Caenorhabditis elegans: one gene and its partner. The protein of the gene in region 2 interacts with the protein of the main gene of each other region in a pairwise test. Each region holds a gene or a part of one and is shown on either strand. Other genes may lie near its edges.

Region 1 (4,943 bases), 6.9 Mb from region 2:
AAGAAAAGGAACACCGAAATGGGTGAAATTTTCTTTTTCTTTTCATCGTCTTTTATCTTGTTCTCCGACTGCCCTCTGCCACTTTCCCTCACCAGTGATCTGTCAGGCGGACAAGGTGGAAACCGAGGGATTGACAAACACTCTAAGGACACTACGCACAGGAGTGAAGAAGAGTCCGTGAATACTTATTAGTTTGTAGGTCATTTCTACGAAAAAATACAAACGGTTGGCCACCTCGTGAACCCGATCTTTGTACAAGAAGTTAAAACAGTCGAAAGTCGATTTTTGCGTATGCACAAACGGTTGTTTATAGTATAAACACAAACTGATAACTCTAAGTCACCATTTTATCATGACTATTCGCTGAAATTGATCGTTTTGATCTAACGATCCGAATGATTACACGATGAACACCATTCAAAATAAAACTGGCGAAATTAATTTCAACTGCTTTGAAATGTGTAATTGTAGGCTTTCAGCAGATTTTAACAATCTAATGTAGATCACTTCAATATTCTAACACACTAGTCTCATTCAGCTTTTCCACTGAAGATCAACGAGATTTATAAGATATTCACATGACAGTTTCTGGACAATAGAACAAGTGATAACGTCTTTATTCTAGATGCCCGTAGTTTGTAGTCTTTAGAGTTTGTCAAATAGATGTTGAACATTTAATAGGGCGAAATGGGGATCATCGGAACAATAATCGAAAGCAAACGGCTGTCAACTTGAATAGAAATATTTTGGCAATAAGCCAGGTTCTAAAGTACGACAAAAGCCTGCTAGTTCCATTTTGGAATCAACACGATCCTGATCTATGCATTTCTTTTTGAAAAAATCTTTATATAAACATCGAAATGATGATAGAAAATGTTGTAGGCCAACACCGATAACACATGAGTTTGTGGTATTTTGCAAGCAGGCAGGCGCACGAAAGAAAAACCGCAAAAAGCGATGATAAACCGGAAAGTTTCCGGTGATGGGGTATTGAGTTTGCTATAGCACACAGTTTTCTGTTTTCCCGAAACACAAACACGTGGCGCTTTTGGATGTTGAAGTGTGCGCTAGCGAAAGAAAAGAAAGGAGAAATACGTAAAATGATACATTGAGCCTTTGAACTTTCTCGTTGTGTGTGGTTCTCTGTGGTTTTTTTCCTTGCAGAAAAAGAGACGAGACTCATCAACGCAAAAGTTCTCATGCAGTCTGGGAATTTCAAATTATGCAGTTAAGCACAAGATGGGTCAGAGGAGGAAAGCTTTAGTAAAGAGAAAGTCGACGAGTTGGTAATGAGACGAGAGTTTCCACCTGTTTCGGATATACGGAAGAGGCAAAGAAGTAATAACGGAGAGCCGGCTAGCTTGGAAGGAATTATAAACGGAGCCGATCTACCAAGGCGGGTTATTTCTGACCCCTTCAATTTTCCTCCTATTATCGGTTTGTTTTGAAGCGCATCTGCTGTCATTGAGCGCTGCAAAGCTGTTTCGATGGTCAGGCGGAACGGACAATTGGGGATGGATGAAGGACTTCGGGCTTTAAACGATGGACGGAAGACCTAACAATTTGGTGTTCGACTTTTTATATAATAGCTTGATTAAGTTGCTATATAAATCCGTTAAAACTTGAATATAATGTTGCACCACTTGTTCCCGTTGATCTTATAATTGAAAAATCACATCGACTAATTTAGAAATCATAGAAAAGTGAGTTGCAAATTGTAAAATAGAGCTGCTTCAGGTGCACATATAAACTTCAGTCTAGTCGAGAAAAGATGATTACAATGAAGCTTTCTTACAACAAGTATCTCTGGAACGTTGCAGCACAGAAATCCCTTCATTTCTACACATTTCAACGACAGGAGCATGCCAGTCAGCTGTACTCTGCACCTTTCTCCCACACTCTCCACTACTCATGTGTCATGCAACATACAACGGATCTTTGTTTCAATGCTCTTTTACTTGCATTTCCGTTGTCGCGCATGCACATTTATATATATATATGAGAAGTCTGCTCCCAATGACAAGGGCAACCAACTAAAATTATGAAGGATTATTTGACTTTGTTCTTTGATTTTGAGTTTCTTTATTCTAAACTTATGAATTAGCAATGTACTCTATGTCTCTTCTGTATGTAACATCACATTTTTTAAGAAAATAGCGCTGCTCAGCTTGATTAGATTTATCAGACACTCCAGCGTTGTCAAGCAGAAATCAGACAGATGAAAAGTACAAAGTCACAGAGCAGGAGGAAAGATATGGATCAAAGCACAAGACTTTGAGCGAAGATAATAATGAAAGATCAAAATTCAAATTTAATTCGGAAGGTTCAACTTTTTGATTATTTCTTTTTGAATTCCAATTGCAATTTTTTTTCCATACAAAAAACTGCCTATTTTCGGCAAAATTTTGAATTTTCAAAAGAAAAAAAAACTCACGGTAATAAGTTGAATCCGTCCAGTCTAGCGAACTGTAGTAGAAGTTCTGGAGGCAACGATGTCAACGAACCAAGCCCAGTGAGTCCTTAAAACGAGCATGATTGATTAATATTTCAGAGAAAACAACAATTGTTTACGCGAACTACGACTCAATTTCTCCCGCGCATTTCTCCCCCATTTTTCTTGATTGACAATAACAATCTACCGTACCGATTTGTGGAGTCATTGTCGCTGTGAGAATTGGCGTCTGGGATTTCCCGGAGGCCAACGAACCGATGATCGGTGTCGAATTCTGGATGTCAAGACATGATGTTGATGTTGTTGCGGGGGTTGAGAGAATTCCTCGAGCGATATTGATCAAGTCGACTTGAGATTTTAACTGAAAATAAAATATTTTATTGAATTAATTATTAAATTTCATGAATTCTTCAAAGAAACAAGTTTTTCGACTAAAAAAAATACAATTTGTGCGCGCAGGGAACCACAAAAAAGAAACAATTTGTTGAAGAAAATGGTTCAAAGGAAGGCTTGGTCTCGCAACGATTTACCTGCGTTGTGCCAGAGACTACGATACAATTTAAAAAATCAATTTTTTTATTGTAAGCATAAAATTTTATAGAATTCTATTTAATATTAATAGGAAATTTGATATTAAACTTTATAAAATTCAATTTTTATGCAAACCTGTGTCATTCCTTGCCACACCGACGATGCTGATGTTGTCGTCGCTGTGGGCTCATTGATTGGCGGCATTCCATAGAAGATGTCTGAAAGAAATCTGAAAATAGTTGACGTTTCTAATTTTATTAATTCGAAACAAAATTGCGATCAGAATAATGAATAAATTGAGCTCAACAGAGAGCAGGCGAGCACAAGTCGAGTTCTCAAAAAAGAGGCGGGCTGAAGTTTGCTCGCGAGAGCTTTGTAACAAGAGCAAGGTAACCGGAAGGCCATCGAGGAACGAGGAAAATTAGAATACTGAACTGACAAAAGGACCTTGAAAATTGAAAGTATGAGAAAATGGGCGGGGCCGCCGGCAGGAGACACGTGAAAGATCAGCAGAAAAAGGACGGATTGAACGAGAAATCAAATGCGCCAATCTAATGGATTCGCTTTTATTCTTTATCTGTATATATGTATGAGATGTTGTGACGACGACACCATCGGGACAAAAATAATCTTAGAAAACAAAAATTTTCAGCAATTTTTCGCTAATAGTAAATTTTAAAAGGTATTTTTTTAAGAACGTAACATGTTTTTGAAGATGTTGAAATAAATAAATTGATAAAAATTGTAGAAACGTTTTTCACGAAAAATTATCTCATTTCACGAAAGCTTACAGGCTTTTCGAAATGCTTTTCGCTGGAAAAAATTTGCTACCGAAGAATACAGCAAGTGCGCTCTGGTGAAATCCATTTGTGCGCGAAGTTTGAAATTATTTCTACAGTAAGATGAAATCAGAGAAATCACAGTTGTCGAACATTTGTAATACACGATCGTCGCATTATTTGTGGTTTATGGAGCCTCAAAAGAGAATTCAACAGTAAAAATGTGCATTATCGCCACAAATGGAAAACGCGCCTCGATATACGATATTCTGCAGCTAATCACACAAAAATCGGGTGGATATTATACGCAGTCACGAGGGATGTGCAGCATACCGTCCGTTCTGATGCTCAGCAGTGTGCATACAAAAGGGGCTCGAGATGGGATATGTGCACAGCTTCTCGCATAATAACTTTAAAACAGACTACATTTTGGCTATTGTTAGAGATTTTAGAGAAGAACAAAAAATATGAAAATTCGAGAAATCAGGCATTGTGGGTAAATAATTATAACTATAGTCGAAATGAAAAAATGTTTTTATTTTCTGTTATGCTTCAGCTGTTCATCGTTTGATTTTTCTCATAAGACTTTCTCTCATAAGAAGTTGAAAAATTCAAATGTTAGAAATACATTCGTGTCTAGATATTTGTAGACATGTCGCGTTGTTAGGCTCACTGAACACGTGCAAATTTAGCGAATATTATGAAAATTTTCGTAGTGTAGCAGAAAACATTTAAAAATCAAAATTTTCCGAGAAGCACATTAAAAAAGAATACAAATGTGTTCTTTCAAGTATTTGACAGCTTTCGTTTAGGGATTCATTCAAGTCAGCAGCAAGATTTCGGACTTCATGCCTACCTGCCTAGAAGTCATGGATTCAATCCATAAAACAGTGCGTAAATGGCAGGTGCACTTTTTCTGGTATAACTAAATAAACATGAATTGAAATGTTACTGTAATTTGCTTGCTGATATTTGAAGACGTTCATTTAAATGTACTTGAAAGCATTATCAATTGGGAAATAGTTTAAAAAAAAATTTTTTTGCAGTTTTTGCAACCAAAAGTGTAGATGCTCGTTTATCTTAATGACGCGAGTTTGAGTTTGAGAGTTGAGTCTCGCTCGAAATCCGGAAAATAAAAATAAAAAATCAATTATCGCCTTCATTTTGATTATTGGTTTCAA
Region 2 (5,077 bases):
CTTTTTCCTCTTTTTCCTTCAATTTTTCCTCTTTTTCTTTCAGTTTTTTCGCCTTTTCCTCTTCTTTTTTCTGCTTCTTCTCTTCCTGTTCTTTCTGCTTTTTCTCCAGTTTTTCCTTCTCTTTTTCATCTTTTTCCTTCTGTTTTTCTTGTAAACGGCGGCTCGAGAGGATCACAGGGCCTCCAGATGCTCGCGGAGCTCCACGTGGAGTTTTCTGCAAAAATTTTCGGTTTTTTCACAAGTTTCAACAGAAAGTTCTCAGAAAATTGGAAATTTCGCATGATTTTTGTCAATTTTTACATTAAAAAATTATATTTTCTAACAGTTTTTGGTGAAAATTGGCACAATTTTGGCGATTTTTGCGAGATTTTAGTCAATTTTTCACTGTAAAATGTGGTTTTTTTCTCGATTTTTCACAAAATGTATCCAATTTTTCTCGTTTTTTCAGAAATTTACAAATAAAAATCCCATTTTTCCTCATTTTTTACTATGAAAAATGGCGTTTTTCTCAATTTCTCAGTCGAAAAATCTAATTTCTCACAAATTTTGTCAATTTTAAAGCTAAAAATCATCGGAATTTAGTTGATCTCTGTCAAAATCACGATTTTTTCACTGTTTTATTCAATTTTTTAGGAAAAATCCTAATTTTTCTGTATTTTTACTACGAAAAATCGAGCTTTGACTACAAAAATAGCGTTTCTGTCAATTTTTCAGCTGAAAATCTACTTTTTTTTTCAATTTTCAGCTAACATCCTGATTTTTCTTTACTTTTCCTCTCCGAAAAATCAGATTTTTCTCTCAATTTTCCAGCTAAAAATCGAAATTTTCCCGTACCATAGCACTTTTATTTGCAGCTTCTGCTCCACTTTCAGCATCCATTGACACCTCTTGTACATCTGAATCATCGGCTTCTGCCGCCACACTGAGCTGAGCAGTTTTCGGCGTAGATTTCCGATTTGCTGAGAATATTGGAGCATATTTTTTAATTTCACGAATCGGATTCTCGGCGAGCAGTTCTTCCCGGACTTTCCACTGCTTTTCATCCACAAATTCAGCATCTTCAATGGCGATTTTCTTGATTTCTTCCACTGATAGACCCTTTTTTCGTCTGAAAATTGAGGGAAAATTAGGGTTTTTTCTCTAAAATTTTGGATTTTTCTTCATAAAAAGTGTAATTTCCACTTATTTTTGAGACAATTTAAGCGCCAAATTGTGAAATTTCACACAATTTTCATCCAAAATTACATCTTTGAACTTTTTCAGACTCTTTTTAAACGGATTTTTGAAAAAAAAAATTGCAGTTTTTTACACTTTTCACCGCAAAATCAAATTTTTGTGGACATTTTGTCTGGAAAATCGAATTTTTGAACGAAAAAACTAATTTTCCATAAATTTTCACTGGAAATTTCGGGTTTTCGAGGAAATTTTAATGAATTTTCTGGGATTTTTAGTGCAAAAATGGCCATTTTTCGTAATTTCGCCCACTGAGAGACCCTTTTTTGGCTGAAAATTGACATTTTTCAAATTTTTTATAGCAAAAATGAAAAATTTCAGCATTTTTTATGTGAAATTATTATATTTTAAAGCATTTTCCGTCCAAAAATCTCGAATTTTATGAGTTTTTAATCAAAAAACATGAAAATTTTTGGATTTTTCATGCAAAAATGTTGAAAATTACGCATTTTTGCAGCTATTTTGTGGATTTACTTTATATTTCACTTAAAAAGGTCTAAAATTGGCTGAAAAACACGATTTCAGCGTATTTACCGGTTAAAAAATTGGGATATTCTCGATTTTTCAATGAAAAAAACCCCATTTTTGCTCAGGAAAGATCTAAAAATCCGTTTTTCAATTCAAAAAATGACCTAAAAATGATAATTTTGAAGTAAAAATCGTGGGAAATGAATTAAAAAATCAATTTTTTGTTATTTTTCGGTTAAAATAAGCAATTTTTCATGAAAACCTGTAACTTTAGTGGTTTTTTTTTTGGGTGAAAAATGAAGAAAAAATGCGGAATTTTCAAATTTGTTGCATGAAAAATCTGAAAATTTAACGATTTTAGTCATTTTTGGCCTAAAACTCCGATTTATAAGCGAAATTCAACGGTTTTTCGCCACATTTTTCCACCGAAAACCATGCAATTCCATCAATTTTCACCTCAAATCGCGATGTCCAATTTTGGTGCCGTCCTCCATTGTGTAAAGTGTGAGCCCACCGCGTTTTTCACTGGAAACCACTGTATATTCTTTGCCAGAGCTCATTAATTTCTCTCCGGCAAAGAATTTCTCATCAATTAGGTCTTCAATTTCGTCGAGAAGGTCATCTTCTGATAAATTGCCTGAAAATTGGGGGATTTTTCCGCGAAAAATCTAGTTTTCTAGCGAAAATTTGGAGATTTTTGATGAAAAATCCACAATTTCTGGGTTTTTCACTCACTATTGTGAACTTTCGAGTAAACTTCAATGGCGAGTGGCTTTGGGAGGCGGGAGACGGCTGAAAAAAGAAACATTATTTTGTGGAATTTCGGGTTTCTAGGTGAAAATCGGGTGGAAATTCACGATTTTTCGGCACTAACCTGTCCCATTTTCCGACTTTTCCATTTGTTCCGTCGATTTTAGTGGTGTGGCGAGCGAAACGCTGGAAAAAGAGAGAAATTTGGCTCGAAATTCGGAGAAAAAAAGTCGAAAACGAAAAACAATTCAAATATTCGCAATGGGGCGCGCTTGCACACCCATTGGTTTTTATTGGATTTTCATGAATTTCCAGTGGTTTTTAGTGATTTTCACGGGTTTTCAATGTGAAAAATGAAGAGAACGTTGAATTTTACACCAGAAACAATAAAAAGAACTCTCAAAATTTTGGAGAATCGAGAAATAAGTTAAAAAAAAATTTATTTTTTTATTTAAAACATTTTAAATTTAAATTCACGTTTAAACTTACTCCGCAATATCATTCGAATTCGTAGCAGCCGTCATATTTCCAATTTCACTTCCAAATGATCGCTGGCTCATTTGCGAATCAACTTTTTGAATTTCCGAGTTGCAACAAGTAGTTTGTTAGTTTTTCGCACTGGAAAACTTGAATTTAAGTGACTTTAACGTAATTTACACAAAAATTTGCGCGAAAGCCGGCTATAAAGCGACAGAATTGTGAGGAATGCGAGAAAAATCGACGGACAGTGTTTGAACACCTGCGCGTTCGCGCCAATTTTTAAAAGCGCTAAACAACACGCGCGGCGGGATTTCGGAGTGTCGTAGTGCGGAAAATTTTTATTTTCGAAATTCTTTTTTTTTTTCGGTTTTTATTTTATTTTCCATAGATTTTTCGCTTTTTTCGAAGTTTTTTAAGTGAAAAAGTGAAGATTGAAGTCAAATTACTTACATAAAACGATAAATCGGCCAGAAAATAGGCAGAAAATCAGATTTTCTGGATTTTAAAACACTTTTTGAAATTAAAAATGATTAAAATTGTTCTTTTATAAAAATCCGAAGGTTTTAACGAATTTCCAGTGATTTTTCATTGTTTTCGCACACTTTAATCGTATTTTTCCCAATTTTAATCCAAAAATCCCCAATTTTTTCCAGTTTTCGATGGGTCGCGGCGAGCACAAAGAGCACAAACGAAAGCGTTCCCGTTCAAAGGAACGAAAAAGAAGCCGGAGCCGCTCGCCACGTGGCAGTCGTGAGCACCGGGAACATCGAGACAGAGATCGGGATCGGGAGAGACGCAGAGAACGAGACACTGATCGGGAGAAGACGAGAGATCGTGAAAAGCAGAGAGATGCAGAGAAAAAGAAGGAAAAAGAGAGTAAAACGGCGATTTTTGAAATGGAAGAGTCACGGAATGGTAAGGAATTGCAAAAAAAATTGGCAAAAAAAATCGATAAAAAGCCAAAAAAAGCAAATTTTTGCCTGGAAAAATCCCAATTTTCGAATTTTTGAGTTAAAACTGGGAAATTTGAACGAAATTCAGCCTAAAAATAGGATTTTAAGGTAAAAAAAAAAAACTTTTTAAACTGAAAATCGCAAAAATTAGCCGATTTTCATGCCAAAAGCATCAAAATTCAGCTATTTTTGCCGTTTTTATTTTTGCTATTTTCATGCAATTTCTAATTTTTCCGGAGAAAAAAAGCGAAATTCGGACAATTTTTGGATAGAAAAATTGAATTTTTGATTCAATTTTCGCCTTATACCGTTGAAATTCAAATTTGTCAACAGAAAGAGCCGAAAATTGTTCAAATTTAAAGGTTTTTGGTTGAAAAATTGAAGTTTAGGCGATTTTTCACCAAGAAAAGTGCGAAATTTTCGAATTTTTCATGCAAAATCCATAGAATTCTCAATTTTTTGCGAAAAAAAAACTCTAATTTTCACCCAGAAAAATGCATTTTTAAGCGATTTTTCCAATTTTCCACTGATTTGTATGGTTTTTGCAAAAAATAATGTGAATTTTATGAACTTTTCATGCAAAATCCATAGAGTTCTTACCTTTTTCCCAAGAAAACATAAAAATTTAAGCGATTTTTTTTCAATTTCCACCTAAAAAACTGAATTTCTAGACGATTTTCACCCAGAAAAGTGTGAATTTTATGTTTTTTTCGCAAGAAATAGGCCAATTTTCAACTTTTTGTTACGAAAAAACCTAACATTTTAGTGAGTTTTCTCAAATTTCACCCAAAAAATTGAATTTCCAGCCGGCTTTTACCCATAAAAGTGTGAAAAAGCCCAAATTCTCAATTTTTTGCAAAAAAACCCCTTAATTTTATCAATTTGCAGACACCGAAGAAGTTATGAAAATGAAAGAAGCCGAATTACTACAGGGAGTCGAGCGTAGGCGTCGTAATGTGGAGAAGTGGAGAGCCCAAAAGAAGAAGGAAGAGCTTGATCTACAATCTGAGCAATCTGATGAAAAATCTGAGAAAAAGCCCTGGAATCTGGAGGATGAGGATGATGAAGACGAATTTGATATCAAAAATGAGGGAATTTCAGAGGAAAACCCGGTGAAAATGGAAGAAAAAGTCGAAAAAATGGATACAGACGACGAAGAGGACCCTCTGGACGCTTTTATGAAAGAAATTGCC

The links.
Region 1: the proteins of F53H1.4 (region 2) and nhr-66 interact in a two-hybrid assay, tested with the Caenorhabditis elegans proteins (one large-scale study listed by BioGRID).

What each region holds. Positions count from the first base shown.
Region 1 is NC_003282.8:8,233,391-8,238,333, forward strand, and holds the start of nhr-66 (Nuclear hormone receptor family member nhr-66), read right to left. Parts: upstream 3,193-4,943; 5' UTR 3,188-3,192; coding exon 3,119-3,187; intron 2,814-3,118; coding exon 2,645-2,813; intron 2,520-2,644; coding exon 2,435-2,519; intron 1,625-2,434; exon of another isoform or gene 1-1,624. UniProt on the Caenorhabditis elegans protein: Transcription factor. Binds to regulatory elements and regulates transcription of target genes, including the potassium channel accessory subunit mps-2. Negatively regulates transcription of mps-2, thereby modulating age-dependent memory decline.
Region 2 is NC_003282.8:1,308,158-1,313,234, reverse strand, and holds the start of F53H1.4 (PHD-type domain-containing protein), read right to left. Parts: upstream 3,070-5,077; 5' UTR 3,012-3,069; coding exon 2,941-3,011; intron 2,638-2,940; coding exon 2,576-2,637; intron 2,494-2,575; coding exon 2,437-2,493; intron 2,339-2,436; coding exon 2,158-2,338; intron 1,109-2,157; coding exon 835-1,108; intron 215-834; coding exon 1-214. Other genes in the region: ddx-46 (RNA helicase), read left to right, coding at 3,591-3,846, 4,773-5,077.